Arabidopsis thaliana: one gene and its partner. The protein of the gene in region 2 interacts with the protein of the main gene of each other region in a pairwise test. Each region holds a gene or a part of one and is shown on either strand. Other genes may lie near its edges.

The links. Proteins that work in one complex are often made in the same cells at the same time.
Region 1: the proteins of IAA7 (region 2) and ARF19 interact in binary tests that used the Arabidopsis thaliana proteins (3 or more experiments, as listed by UniProt).

Annotation. Positions count from the first base shown.
Region 1 is NC_003070.9:6,626,128-6,635,755, forward strand, and holds ARF19 (auxin response factor 19), read right to left. Parts: upstream 7,007-9,628; 5' UTR 6,653-7,006; coding exon 6,610-6,652; intron 6,314-6,609; coding exon 6,201-6,313; intron 6,122-6,200; coding exon 6,026-6,121; intron 5,949-6,025; coding exon 5,892-5,948; intron 5,808-5,891; coding exon 5,652-5,807; intron 5,561-5,651; coding exon 5,476-5,560; intron 5,389-5,475; coding exon 5,298-5,388; intron 5,222-5,297; coding exon 4,861-5,221; intron 4,784-4,860; coding exon 4,645-4,783; intron 4,563-4,644; coding exon 2,818-4,562; intron 2,727-2,817; coding exon 2,536-2,726; intron 2,452-2,535; coding exon 2,268-2,451; 3' UTR 1,556-2,267; downstream 1-1,555. Other genes in the region: AT1G19210 (Integrase-type DNA-binding superfamily protein), read right to left, coding at 846-1,403. UniProt on the Arabidopsis thaliana protein: Auxin response factors (ARFs) are transcriptional factors that bind specifically to the DNA sequence 5'-TGTCTC-3' found in the auxin-responsive promoter elements (AuxREs). Could act as transcriptional activator or repressor.
Region 2 is NC_003074.8:8,191,979-8,198,468, forward strand, and holds IAA7 (indole-3-acetic acid 7), read left to right. Parts: upstream 1-2,627; 5' UTR 2,628-2,789; coding exon 2,790-3,028; intron 3,029-3,585; coding exon 3,586-3,839; coding exon of another isoform or gene 3,840-3,850; exon of another isoform or gene 3,851-4,096; coding exon 4,097-4,232; coding exon of another isoform or gene 4,233-4,236; exon of another isoform or gene 4,237-4,544; coding exon 4,545-4,606; intron 4,607-4,697; coding exon 4,698-4,738; 3' UTR 4,739-5,177; downstream 5,178-6,490.

The sequences.
Region 1 (9,628 bases), on a different chromosome or scaffold from region 2:
CCAGATTCTATTTTTAAAAAATTACTGCATATTATATTAACATTTTTGCCACTTGTAAACATATAATGCAATATGTAATTTGAATTTGAGACAATTACGTAACTAGATTCTTAATTCTTCTTCTTCTTTTTTTTTTTTTGAATATAACTAACTGTAGGATTTGTCAAGTTAATAGTTAGTGGCTAAGAATATTCGTTTTGGTTTAGATAAATTATAGTAGCATAATTTCATAACAATTTTAAACTATTTGTTTCAATTTTTTTAATTCCAATTAATCCTTGAATTTCACTGGCTTAATTGATTACTGAATTGTATATTTTTTTTTCTTAAAAGATATTCATTGAAATGATTATATTGAAAACCCTTAAAACATTAATAAGGTCGTTGTCAAATATATCAGAAAATAAATATATAAAAATTAATAAGACAAATACCCTTATTGCCTTTGTTTGAATGGGCCTGAAATATTATTATTAGGCTTAATCGTACAACTTAAAGTAAAAATTGTAATTGAAATTTAATAAGACAATACCCTTATTGATTTTAATGGGCCTGAAGTATTATTGTTGGGCTTAATCGTACAGTTAAAATAAGATTTGTAATTGGGCCTAGTGAAAGCGATTGGAGTGGATGATATCATGATAATATGATCAAATGACGTCAGAAGATCCAAATATAATTGTTTTATTAAGTTTGGCCTTTTCCCATCTGAAAAATCTAACACGTGGGAAAAAAATAGTGAATGAATAACTCTTTATCCCAATGATCAAAAAAAAATTGGGTAAAGAACTACAAAAAAAAATAAAAAACCCAAGTCAAAATTTTCAGATTGTGAATAATGGAATTCAAAAATTCCAAAGAAACATGGAACCATCGGCGTAAGTCTCTTCTCCAAGCTGATAATAATCTTGTGTAGGCGAAAGCTGCTCTCTGAAACGATCACCGGAGTATTCATCGGAGAAATCATCAAACCCAGGGAATAACCCAAACTCCGAAGCGAAGTTACCCGAACCAACCGTCGGAAGCATACTCAAAAACTCCGAATCAACGTCCATCGATGTTGAAGCAGATTCTTGCCGTATCTCGTATCCTGCTCCGCCACTTGAATCATCCTCCGCCGAATTAGCGAACCTCGCAGCAGCTTCTCTTATCTCAGATCGCGACAAGTTACGTCCGCCGGAGATCACCGGAGGATTATCAGGGAAATTGAACTTTGCGTTGTTGCCACGGAGACAATAAAGAGCCGCGTCGAAAGCACGCGCCGCCTTCTCAGGAGTATCGTAAGAGCCCAACCAAATACGTTCTCTGCTGTTGGGAAGTCTGATCTCTGAAACCCATTTTCCCCATTTCCTCTTCCTCACTCCTTTGTACTTTGACTGCATCGAAGAAGACGACCCTTCCATCACGATTAAACCAAACAAAGACGCGATTGAACCAACCCGGTATGATTTCTCTGTTTTCCGGTTTAATTTTGTTCTGTTAAGTTTTTTCAGTGAGCTCTGTTCTTCAGTGTTAGTGTTGATTTGAATTGAGATAATTGTATTTGGCGCTTCAGAAATTTATTTATACGAGTGAAATAAAAGAGTGAAGAGTGAGTTTTTGACTTTTTATGGCGCGTGAAGAAGAAAGAAGGTCAGCTTCAAAGGTCAAAGGGAGCGCGTTTGTACTTAAAACGCCGCAAAGTGTCAGGGGAATGGACACGTGGCGGATGTTACTAGAAGCTTGAGTCTTAATGTGTGTGGGTCACAACTCACACGGGAAATCTCAGAGACTGTTTGGTTTTCTTGTCCTTGTCCTTGTTTTTCACGTGATTCTTTCTTTAACTCCTCTCTTTTCGTTTTCAAACGTTGAAATGTTGAATATTTCGCTGCGTCTAGAGGATACTGGTATAAAAGAATCTGAAATGATCCCTGATTCTTAGGAGGCACTGAAGAGAAGAAGAAGAAACGACCAAAGATTCATGATTAATGAAGGTAATTGTTTAGTTACATTAACATTACATCTTAGTATCTCTGTATAAGATATGCTCCTCATAGACTTGTCAAGCATTATACTTGTTATACAAATATGGAAACAAGAAAGTACAACAACATCAAGTTAGAATGAAAAATCAAATCACTGTCCTATAAAAATGTTTATATACCGTGCAGTATCTTCTTCTTCTCAGTTTGTTGTTTGCAGTACATACACACAAAAAAAAACATGTACTTTGCGATGGCCTCGAATGATAATGTAAGTTGACTTGGTATATTTGCATCTTTTTATTTCTATCTGTTGAAAGAAGCTGCAGCAGAAGTGTCTTCATAGTGTACTTTCCAAGCATTTCCGCTGTCTGTTTCGCTGCAGGCTTGGTTTGTGGTTGGGATAGCTGCAAGATCTCCGTCTAAGCTCATTTGCTGAACTTCTACTGATGATAGTATCTTTATGTTCTGCACGCAGTTCACAAACTCTCTGTGGAAAAAACAAACAGACAAGAATTATCAGAATTGTTCAATCTTGACTGTTACAGATAGATTTTTCAGGTCTGGAACGTACTCCCAAGGATCATCACCAACTAGTAAAATATCGTTTTCGTGATCGGTGTAGACGAGTTTCCAATCAGAGGTTAGCGGATCTTCGAGCTGTCCTTCGATGCCAAACATTCTCGCTAAGTCATGCCTAAGTTCATCATAGCCGCTATAACGGGTAACATCTATTGATCTACCTACTGACCCTCGTTTTTGAACCTTCAATGATTTAACAACTTTCGGCATTTAGCATTCGAAAATTAAGAAGCAAAAGATTAGAGCTATGGAAAGGGAGAGAAAGATCTCTAACCTTTGTATATGTTCGCATTCGTTGAGTCTGATTGGGCCACAGTCCTCCACCATTCATGATTCCTGAATCATTGATGCCGCCAACCTCATTTGAACATCCGGGCTTAAAGGGAATGCTGGGAATACCAAATGACTGAGAACTGATTGCAGCACTGGACAGCTCCGTCTCAATGTCTCTTGGTGTGTTGCCATAGTTGGGAACCAAGTTTTGAAAGTCCTTTTGAGAATAGAGTGGATCAGAAGTTACGGCTTCGAGATTACCAGGGAAAGCTAAGTTGTTTCTTGGATGATGAGATTGGCAGTCTCCATCAAAACCAAATGATGGTAGTGGGAAAGTTTGTTGCTGCTGTACAGGGCCAACAACATCAGGACAGTACGTCGTTCCCGCTGTGGATACATCGATTTGATCTGTTACCGCGCTTTTAAATCTGAAATGTTCACCAGCACTCTTCATATTCATCATGCCTTGACTGATCCGGCTCTCAGTTTTTGTATAAAGCTCTTGGACCGGATTGCTTGCGCGCTCAAAGACTGAATCAGATGCAGATACAGATGCAGCTTGTCCTTGCTGTTGATTTCTGCTCAGGAAATTTGTCGGTGAAACATTATCATGTCCCGTGTTATTGGCGGAAGGTGAGGTTGAACAAGAAGGAGCTTCTCCATCTGTGTGGCCAGAATGTGATCTTCCAGCGGCTACAAGATTTTTGTTACTCATCTGTCCTTGCTGCTGAGGACTCACCTGAATCTGTGGAGGCTGCATGAAAGTTGAAGCTGGGAAGCTGTTATTACCATGTGCCAAGGGCTGTTGATTTTGAGACGACAGAAGTTGTTGCAATTGATGGCTTTGTGTCTGCTGCAACGCTGATAATTGTGGCTGTAAGGATGAGCTTACTGGAGGAATCGACTGCTGCTGTTGCTGCTGCTGTAGCTTCTGCAGTAGCTGCAACTGAAGCTGTTGTGAAGGACTTGGTTTTGATGATTGTTGTTGCATTTGGAGTTGCTGAGGATTTTGGGACAGATTTTGTTGTAATGAATGGAGAGAGGACTGTTCTTGCTGGTTTCTTAATAACTGGCTACTGTTATGCATTTCCAGTTGCTGCTGAAACTGCATTTCTTGCGCAAACGATGTCATTTGAGACAAGCCTTTATTCCCCATAGAATTTATGTTCTGGTGTGTCATTTTAGCACCAGTAGGGAGCATTGACTGCTGCTGAAGCTGAGACTGAGAGAATCCAGTAGGTTGGTTTGGACTTTGACAAGAGACTTGGTTAGCAACAGCAATCGTACCATTGTTATAAATCCCTTGTTGCTGCACCTGTTGCTGTGACATCTGTAGTTGTTGTTGTTGTTGCAGTTGTTGTTGTTGGTGTTGGTGTTGTTGTTGTTGTTGTTGTTGTTGTTGTTGAGATTTCACCATGGCTGGTTGTGCTTGCATCTGTTGGCTGATATGGTTAACCGTGTTCGGTTTGTTGAATTGGGAATTTGCGGAAGAGAGGTTTGGGGATTGGAAGTTCAACAGCTTGGAAGGGTCGTTGGAAGCAAAATTGTTTGGTAGGTTAAAAGATGAGAGCGCGGACGGGAGCTGAGGAGTAGCAGAACCTGACAATGGATTGTTTTGCTGCATACTCATCCATTGAACTAGACTTAAACCAGGGAACATCGAACTCTGTGCGTCCTTCATCCCAAAGTCTTCTCCCATCCAAGGCATTGCTCTTTTGAAAGCATTTTCCATGTCTAACTCATCATCTGCAACAAACCACCAAGGTTAGTATCCGGAAACTCAGTCAAAGATCTATGGGAAAAAAATGAACGAAAGCAGTAAACTCACCTGGCATCCCGGGTTGCCTCGGGTACTTAGGTCTGAAAAATGGAGGAGGACATATGTAAAAAGGAGTTATGACGGGTTCGATTTCCCATATGGATACTCGGCTTGGCCTATCTCCAGCTGTTGATTCATCCCATCCTACCTGTTTAAACCATGAACAAAAGATTCAGAAGAAATGACCATCATAAACAGTTTAGCATAACTCGGATATGTCATTACCTGAAGATTACGCCATTGTGAGCCTTTCCATCTTACAGGGTCAAGATCACTAATACCTGTGACTGTACCCATATATCTACGAACCCCACAATCCTCAGTCTCAAACATCATCCGGAATCTCATTCCTAGAGATACTTGAGCGTATAAGGCTTTGTTGTATTTGGCTAAAGGAACTACAAACTCTGAAGGACTTGCCCTTGGATTGAAGAAGATGGTAAAAGGGCTACTATTGGCATTAGCATGAGCTGCAGCTGCAAGTATCCCAATGTGCATACTGTCGCTGGATATGACCGATGAGGAAAGAGTCGGAGTTTGTCTATTTGCACGTCTTATACCCAACATCAGCTGTGATTTCTCATCTCTGCAAACCCAAGTACCCTTATGAGAAGATGAAAGTCCAATTCTGCTTAATGTTTTGATCAAAGTATGACTCATACCTTACAAACAAAACTGAATCACCCGCAAATAGTCTCTTTGTGCTAACAAAAACGCTCCAACCTGTGGTAAGCAAGTGTCTTTTTGGTTGGCCTGAGATCAGATTACATCAAAGAAAACAAATCAGGTTGAAGTTTTCAATCTTTTAGACTAATAAAACAAACTTTAGATGATTCAAACCTCGATAGATATGTCTGAAAGTCCATGTAGTATCATGTAAATCTTTAGCTACAATCTCTTGCGCAGGCGGTTGCATCGAGAAATCCTATTTTAAGCACCCTTAGAACTTTTAGCAAAACAGATTCAAAAGTTTGAAGCAAAAGAAACTGAGAGTAGCTTTGATCAGAGAGACATACAAGAGGAGGGAATATTTTCTCAGCTGCACGACGCGGTACAGAGAATCCACCATGAGTGCTTGTGTCACTTGCAGTAAGAGTCTTGCAAAAAAACTCAGTAGGTTGTCTGTTTAGCTTCAAGCCCATATCAGAAGCTAGCAATGCTTCTCTATCATACTGTCACACATTTTGAGCAAAGATCAGCATTAAAGTCCTCAACTTTAAACCAAGATAGCACAAGAAGAATGATATAATTCAGACCTTATTCACAGGTTGAAGAGTCATTTGTGCATAGACTTCATCTGTTTCGGTATCAGCCTGATTCAGAATTTCACAAAAGTCCTGATTAGTTCATCTTCTTGTTGATTCACAAGTTGGAGTCAGAAGAGACTTACATGTAATGTAACACTGTGAAGCAAGCAAATCAGCTTAGAAGGAAGATTTGGGTAATTTGGTATAAAATCTGTTTGCTTCTGCATCGATGCTGCAACCTGAAAAAAGGTTTCATTGAACATATTACTTAGATTGCTACCAAAGGTTTCAAAATAGTTTGAAACGCAATGAACTTACTTGCTCGCTGTGTCCTTGAGGGAAGTAAACCACAAGACTTCCCACAGGAGGTAATGAAACTAAAGGCCCTGCACAAGCGTGCCATAGTTGAGAATTGATTGGCTTCTTCTCTCCTGTTCATCATCATCACACACATATTCAAATCTGTTAAAAGTGATAGAATTTTTGCATAGTTTCATTTAAAGTCTGGAAATTTTATGAGCGGCATTTATGTTTCAACCACTTTATTAAATAAAGTGATAGAAGAACTCGATTTGTGACTTTGTGCTGACTCCAAAGTTGAAATTGAATAACAAAATTCATTTTTTCAATGAGAAAATCACAAACATGAAATGCAGAAACTCCTTGATGAAGAAATTGAATAGTATAAAATCTGGAAAAGAAGAAGATAAATATAAAGCTTGTGTACCTTCGTTGGAACTTGGAAGAAATCCATTTGATGGAGCTTTCATGGTTTATAGAAAGAACGAAAAAATTGGTTTGGTGCAGGGAAGAAACAGAGTTCTTCTTCTTCAGCAAAATTAACGAATCTGTATTTGCTCAAGAGAAGAGCACGAGAGAAACTAAATAGTAATAATTTTGGAAACAAAAATCATTCTGCTGCTAAGGAAAAAGAAACAAAAGCTTTTTTCTTCTTTTTAGTTCATAAGAATATTTGAAGCTTCAAAGCAAATTTTTAAGCTCTTAAAAAGCTTTGAAACTTTTCTTTTTTTTCTCGTGTTTCTGCAGATTCTCAAGTGTTTTTTCAAAAAAATAAAAACAATAATCGATATTGAGATTTAAGCCGATTGGGATCGGATACATGCGGAAAGATGAAATCTTTTCTTATGCCTTCTGACGTGGCACCCCACTTGATGTCTTCTTCTTGTCGGTCCCACCTTTTTTATTTCTTTTTATTTTTATCTTTTCCGATTATAATTTACTGTTGTTGGAAAAACAGTCCATGGTTTTAAAATCTGTTAACTTTCCCTCGTTTTTATAACCATATTTTTAATTTTTTACTTTAGTAATACGGATTTTCTTATGAATGAGGTTATACCATAAACCCGGATATATTGAGAAAAACCTAAGGATTAGGTTCGGCGGACCGAAAATTGCAAGCCAAATGGGGACTTAAATATTTTCTAATCCAAAGTTGTAAACTCTTGGTTACCAGAAAAGATGTCCCACTTTTTTTCTTTTATATACATATTTTCTGTTATAATATAGTAGTAGCTAATAAGTTTATTCATTTATATGGATTGGTCCAAATTGAGACATGTCCGTATAATGCGAGAAAAAAAAAAACACTACTAGTAATTTAATGACTTAATTATGATTAGAATAATATTCCTTTTGATACGCAATGGAGCACCCACTAGCCGCAAAAGGAGGAGAACTTCACATGTTTACAGAGCTACGGACATCATTATACTCCAATTAAAGCTAAGCCTTCATGTGTAATTATTAATTTTTCAGGCAATTATTTTATTCATCTTCTTCTTTTTTTAATCAATAGTATAAAGTGTTCGTTTTTGTTTTAATTAATGTATAAAGTTCTTTACAATTAATCTGGACCGGAGTAGAGTTGTTCCTTACTTTCAGCTCTCTACGTATGCATATAAAATGTAGTTGTAGAGCCTTTTTCCTTTCAACGCCGATCTTTCTTATGAATTTTGCTTTCAATTAACATATACTATAATAGTATTGTATTTCTGAATCTCAGTATACATGTATTTAGTGGGGGAGGTTTTGACCTAATTATTACCTTTTTGTTGATTTATATGTAATTAGGGATTTTCTATGTTTAGACAAACGGAAATAATTTGGAACATTTAAATATCTTTCGAGAACAACTCTGACTCTTTCCAAAGTAAATATTCTTCATTGATATCATGTCAATACATTCATTGAAAACATGATGTTATTTAATTAATATGAATTATATATAAAAGATTCAAATATATAGTTTATGTTTTGATCAAAACAGAAGAGGGTTAATAAATTAAAACATTTCACATGTAAAAGAATTCAAGTGGTAATCTTTTGGTGAGAACATATGAGATGATCACACCTCCAAATGGACATTAAACAAAAACCATAAGAGCTCATTAATATATGTTCAACTTATCGCGGTTAAACAAGAAATACCGAAGATTAGCCATGAACTTAGCAGTTTAATATACATCTCTTTCTAGAGTAATTTATAATTTACCACATGTAAATTGATTAACCAGACAGCTACATGTTTATAAATGTTAAACAAGAGATGAGGTGAAGCGATCTCAAGAGCCTTACCTAGTGAGCAAAAGAAAAAGGAATGTAAAGTTTGATAAGTTAGGTTTAAACATATATTATAGAGGATCAAAATTTGAAAAGATATGGGACGACAAAGTAAATCTCAACAAGAATAAAAAGTTGGCATGCTTTAGTGTTTTTTATGCCTTTTTGGGTCAATATTTGCTGCGCGTGGAGAGTATATGTACGTACAACAATTGATGTGTTTAGAAATCACTCCTCATCAAAACGAATTAACCATTCTAGTAGTAGTAACACTCAATCATTGTTGATATTTTTTTCACCTCCCACTATTGACTTTTATATCTATATAAAATTAAATTATAATTGGATTTGATCCACGCATCCTGCAAAAGTTTCCTCAAATACATACGCATGCACCATATATAACAAAAACTTGGGACTTTTGTGAATTCCTCAATTTCTACCACCATTACAGAAAGAGTCAATAAATATATCGTTTTTACTAAAATAACTAAAACACAAGAAAAATGTATGTGCACGTGAGTGTGGGTGCAGCATGCACGTGAGGTGTGGCAGAGGATGTCGGGAGAGACAGGCTCTAGACTCCGACCGAGTCTTTCGGTTTAGCCAAAATGGTTTTGCTTTTAAGTGAGTGTATGCCTCTATGTCTCTTCTCCTCATCGTAACCACACACACTCTCTCTCTCGTTTGTTCTACTATTTCCCAACCAACAATATTTTTTATTTTTCTGTTAACTGGAATTTAGACTATCTTAAAATCTTGTTTTGCACACTAGTTTAATGTTTCAGTAGTACAAAAGTACATATGTTCTAATGACGTTATCAAACAAGGTATAAAACCATGAAATTCTGAACCAAAATCAATATGAAAAAGCTGTGTATTTTTGACATAGAAAACGTTTCTAGCGGCTAATTATGATTGACATTATGGTGAAAGGAATTGATCTCTCAACCAATGTGGTAAATTTTTATACTATGAATCTTGACTATCATCTATTGGTTTAACATTGATGGTTCTCTCAACATTCTTCTTTCTTAACTTTTAACAAAAAAAATCTTTTATACAGTGTTGTGTCAGATTAATAAACCATAAATTTCATCAAAAATTAATTGGTTCAATGAAAAAAAAGTTCCTAATTAACTTTGACATTTTTCATGTGGTAATTT
Region 2 (6,490 bases):
AGAAACCGACAAGTCTACGTTAAATATCAAAGTTTTGGGGGTGCAATAATTAAGAGCGTTTTGGTGCAGTCTGTTCGTAATCGTAGTGACGGTTGGGAACTATGATATTAATATGGTGTCTATTTTTTGTTTAGTTAATTTAGATTTCAAATCAAACACTTGATTAATAGAATGTCAAGAACTCATAACACTCTAATCACTAAAGGCAAATATAGCTAAAAACATGTCAATCTTGCCGGTTGAACCGGATAAAAAATCAGTGGTGGGCTTTCAATTCATAGGATTACGGCCACTCGTGAAAGAATATGACACTAATTCACGAAAAGATGTTTCGTCTAATTTTATGGTGGTTAGAAGAATTCCAGATGTTTTCAATAATGAGGCTTTTTCCCATAATCATTGTTTTCCCCCCAAATGACATATAACTCTTTTGTATAAAAAATACGTAATTTTATGAAAGGTACAATTATCTCCTTCGTTAGCAAAATCCAAGTTTCTACAATATGTGTATGTGCACGTGTAACTACAGTTTGAGTTCATAAAACCACGTCCCACTTACTGTAAAACGTTAGCGACTACACTGCTAATTAGTAGGATTAGACAAATTATATGTTCCCTGTGTTTTAATTTTGATATTCGTTTCGGTTCGTTTAGCAAAATAGAACTAATCATAAATATTTAAGTTTCAAAAGCCTCGATTCTTAAGAAAACTACATAATTTCACATATTTTCACTCGATTGGTTGCGCATCAAATGTATATATAAAACGGATCACAATTTTTTTTTTTGATCAAAACGGATCACAAAATTAAGTGTAAAAATACAGGAACTTTCCTCAGTCTCGTCAGCCATGATGCAATGGCCCTTGATTTCATCTGTAAAAATTACAAGTCTTTTCACATTACAAAGAAGCATTAAGTTCATTTTTTATGTTGGGAAGAAGAAAATCGATGTCAGTCTTCACTCAGTGTCCTCACTAAGAACATGTACCTAGACCAATTAATAGATTCTCTGTTTATATACCACAAATGTCTATGCTTATTAATGAGTAGTACTATTCTTTTATTTTTAATTTTTTAGTAAGACACATTTAATAACCAAGATGATACAGAGAAAACGGGAGACCGTAAACAATTAAAATAATATACGTGACTTGTATAGTTGTATTGCTTGACACAAACTAATTAGAATGTTGACCAAATTTGGTTAACGGAATTTCACCGCCCAATTCCACTTGCTTTATATGCGATGAACAGTTGACCAGAGGAGACAAAGTGTAACAAATAGGCTATTAACAAAACATAGAAGTAATTAATACATTCATAGTTTATATATAGACATGTTGTGAGAACTTATTCTTTTCTTCTTTAACAAACAATCTGAATTCGTTTCATACTATATAAGTATTATATACTACCTAGTTATATGCTAGCTTTGTATTGACTCATAGAGTCATAGTACAAATGCTAAAATACTAAAGCTACACAGAGTGGTAGAACCAGCTGAAATATGTTTAAAACTACATGACCTAACCCAACCATTACAAATTTATAAACAAACTACATCCTGAAACTCCAGAATAGACGATGTAGCTCACTATGAACTATAATGTATGTTTAATGTCAGAACCAAATAAATTTAAAAAAAATGTCAGAACCGTACGAGAAGAACAAACAAAACTTTTTGTAGTTTGTTTGTATATATTTCTAAGTAAAAATGCTGAACACAATTATACAACCAATATATGTGATCTAATGTGCTATTTAGGAAAATTTGTCGATGATAAGTACTACGTCAGAGTCAAAAGACCCATATTGGTTTAGTCCGACTATTAGATACGAAAAGTCAAGCAAACATTACATGTAAATTTTGGTAAGATGTGAGAGATATATATGTCTTTTTTTTTATTTTTTGATAACAAAGATGATGCTAAAATACTTTTAGATCCAAACACCAATTATGAGATTCGGAAAAACTAATGTTAGAATTCGAACCATGATGGCCAATATTACATGAACTCAAGTGGCAAATTTTTTCACTCTTTTACTATTGGAGCAAGATGACTTGGTTATGTAAGAGATATGTTGCTCTCAATATTCTCATAGATCATCTCTTTCTTCAAATTGGTAAGATATGAGAAATATGTCCCATCTTTTTATTATCATACCAAAGTCTTTTATAAAATATATCATATATGTATATATATATATTGTCAAGAATAACTTGACTTCATACATACTATTTGAATTCGGATAGTATCACAAAACATCACTACCACGTAACTGTTGGAACTTCAATTTTACAAAGTATTTCCGGCTAACTTTTCGGCGAGTTTTTCAGTGAAGTTTGTCACAAAAATAAGAATGATCATATTTTTGGAATCTTTGTAATCGTTTTCAAAGTTTTCTCTCCGGATTTTCGCGGTTCTACAATAATTACATTACATATCATGATCAATATGTGACCTGATCCTCGTAGTTAATTAAAACATAATTTCCCGGTCACCATTCAAAACTTTCTAGATGGAAGATTAACAAAACAAAATTATCTTAGCTTAATTTTGTAGTAACAGAGAAGAAATGATTAACTAACATCTAATCAAGCCCACGTGTCATAAACCCCACCAATGAAGAAAAAAGAGCAAAAGACATGCACATGCAATTACACGAATACATACACCCCACCACCATCCTCCCTCCTTATATTATTATTGCCCCTTCCTCTCCTTTCTTCTTCCCCTCTTACCTTTTCAGAGAGAGAAACAATATTTCTAATCTATTACAAGTAACATGATCGGCCAACTTATGAACCTCAAGGCCACGGAGCTCTGTCTCGGCCTCCCCGGCGGCGCTGAAGCAGTTGAGAGTCCTGCCAAATCGGCGGTGGGAAGCAAGAGAGGCTTCTCCGAAACCGTTGATCTCATGCTCAATCTTCAATCTAACAAAGAAGGCTCCGTTGATCTCAAAAACGTTTCTGCTGTTCCCAAGGAGAAGACTACCCTTAAAGATCCTTCTAAGCCTCCTGCTAAGTAAGCTACACATTTACATATATATATATTCTTAGATTTTTTTTTTTTTTGGTTAAAAAGTTCTTAGTTTTTTCCAGTCCATATATATACATATATACGTGTTTATACACATCTATGTCTAAGTTCTTAGAATATTCGAATATATATAAATTTCATAGTTATATGTCCTCGCAGAACATAAATATTGTGAGGGATTTACATAAACATATGAATAAACTAAAAATTCTTGAAATTTGTAATGTTAGTTATATATATATATATATATATATATATATATATATATATACTTCCCATATACATTACCTTTTTTTGTTAAAATTTATATGCATAACTTTGATTCTTTGAAGTTATATTTGTTTTCTATCAATATAATACTAAGAAATAATATAATAATAATTAAAGCGTGGTTGAAACTTAAACACCAATACATACATGCGTACAAGCAAACATGAAATAATACATGTTATAACTTACAATCAAGCCCATAAAGGCAGTAATGGTAACTAATAATTACATTGGTTGATATACACCTATCTAAATAATGTTGTTCTATGTAGAGCACAAGTGGTGGGATGGCCACCTGTGAGGAACTACAGGAAGAACATGATGACTCAGCAGAAGACCAGTAGTGGTGCGGAGGAGGCCAGCAGTGAGAAGGCCGGGAACTTTGGTGGAGGAGCAGCCGGAGCCGGCTTGGTGAAGGTCTCCATGGACGGTGCTCCATATCTGAGGAAAGTTGACCTCAAGATGTACAAAAGCTACCAGGATCTTTCTGATGCATTGGCCAAAATGTTCAGCTCCTTTACTATGGGTACGTATTAGAAATTTCAAATCGGAAAGTGTGAAAAAACTATATTCGTATATTAAAGTATATCATTTACTACATTTATTCATACAAAACTCATGAACCTTACCGAGTTAGAGTCATAGAACTATACATTCGAACCCTATACATATTAACAAGATGAGATTTTGCTAAATGTATACAACTTAAATATGTATTATATATATTACACAATAATGACACATAAATTTATATGATTTTTGAATGTCTTGAATATCTTCAAGGAAACTATGGAGCACAAGGAATGATAGATTTCATGAACGAGAGCAAGCTAATGAATCTGCTGAATAGCTCTGAGTATGTGCCAAGCTACGAGGACAAAGATGGTGACTGGATGCTCGTTGGCGATGTCCCATGGGAGTGAGTCAAATTTAATCGTTTCATATACTTTTTTTTATAACTTATAACTTGACTCGTTAACCACATTTCCCGAAATTGGTAGAGACAAAGCCAAAGATATTCAACATCCATGTGTTATAAATACGTACAACCATGCATTGGTTGGCAAGAGACAAGAGGATCTTTCAAAAATTATACAATAGTATCGATATGTTTAGAGCTCATTCGTAGCTGGCACATCATCATATTATTGCCAAAAACCTTAGAATAAACTTTAAATGTTAACGACTCATATTCTAATGTTCTAACCGTAAACTTGAATACCTATTTCAGAATGTTTGTCGAGTCTTGCAAACGTTTGCGCATTATGAAGGGATCTGAAGCAGTTGGACTTGGTACATCTCTAACTTTTTTTTTTTTTTTTTGTTTTTCAATTTTTACCAATTTTCTTTTTATTTTAATATAATTCTGTTTTCTTGGTTATAGCTCCGAGAGCAATGGAGAAGTACTGCAAGAACAGATCTTGAATTAATAATAAAAAAAAAGAAGCATCAATGATCAACAATATGACGGGTTCTTGATTTTATATGTATTTTTATGATTGTATGTGGCTATCACCTATATATGTGTGTTGTAATTTTAAATACTTGATGGGTATATAGGGCAGTATTTTACCAGTAAGATGTGGACAAACTTGTAATGTGACCAAAAGAGAGGAAACTTCAATATCTCTGTGTTTGTGTCATATTTATTGCCCAACATGTGTCTGTCGGTTTGATGATCAATCACAACTTGATATGTGCATACATATAAATGTGTGTATGTAGGTGTGTGTACATGTACATGTGTTTTGATCCCTACTCTGCTACTTGTCGTTTCTTGTGTGTGTTATCTAATAGTTTTTTCCCAAAATGAATAATTCGTTGTTATGTTTACTATTTTACCAATAAAATCTTAGCTTTTTAATTCTACTCTCTAACCATTACTAGCGTTTTTTAGTTTTAAAAACTCTGATTATGTATTGACTTTTAGATGAAGTCTTTAATGAACAATTGAACATATCCTACAACCCACAAAAAAAATAAGAAGTAGAATTTAAAGTTGGTTTGTTGTCATTTCATCATAAATTGTGTATCCTAATTTTTTGGGACATGTGGTCCGTAATCTGTCATATTTTAAACTAACTGATGATTATATGTGTAGCGGCTTTACAAGATTAATTTAGTCATCATTTCAAAAATATGTTGAAATCAATATAATTTGTTTTCATTATTAAAAAAAAAGTGAGTAAGATACAGTTACAAAAGAGGATATAAAAGTTTTAATATTCGGATGTTTGTTACTCACTTACAATTTGTTACGACTTGCGAGTTATTGATGGTTCTTACTGGTGGATGGATGATGGATCATTAGATATATATATTGTATTCATATTATAGATTAATAATCTCATATAAATTATGTAAGTCGTTGATGCCTCCAAATAGTATAATTTGACCTCTTTTGCGCTCTAATTTTGTGGGAGGAATTTATCAAATTCAGGACCCATGAGAGGGGTAGGGAACAAGAGCATGTGCATGTTCATGGGTCTTTTAATTCATATGGCCATTATGTTATTGTAATTTGTACCCAATTTTCCCGATCACGAGAGGAAAATTTCATCCTATTTTATAATTTGTCTCAATGTTTGTGTCATATTCTAGTTAATCTATACTCGAATAATTATAGTATTCCCGATCGTTTTATAGAAATATATAACCAAAAACCAAGGTCAAACGTGCAATATGATAATGACTTTGAACCAAAAAAAAAACTTAAAACAAATTGCAACCTCATGGGTCCTAATTAAGTAATTATACACCAACAATATAGTTAACAATTTAATTATTCTTATGTAAAGTAAGAATAACTTTTGATTTGAATTATAAGCTTATAGAGCCAAATATAATTAAGTATAGGCCAGGTCCATTGAAAATTCAGACATATTAATTATTACAAATGAAGTCGAGTAATGTAGAGTTTAAGGGTACGGTTTTTTGGTAGTGACCAAGCTCGACAATGCAAATCTATTTTTAATTCTATATAGCTATATTTATAAATGAAATAATGAGTGTTTTGGGATCACTAAATACAAACTTTCATGAGTTTTGATGATTGTAATACCCAAACTTTTTTCTTGGATCCGGTGCAACGATAGAACTTAATTTCATAAAATTAGCCAAGTGATGAAAAAATGATTAAGCGCTACTAGGGACATGCATGCATGCGTTTGCAAATTC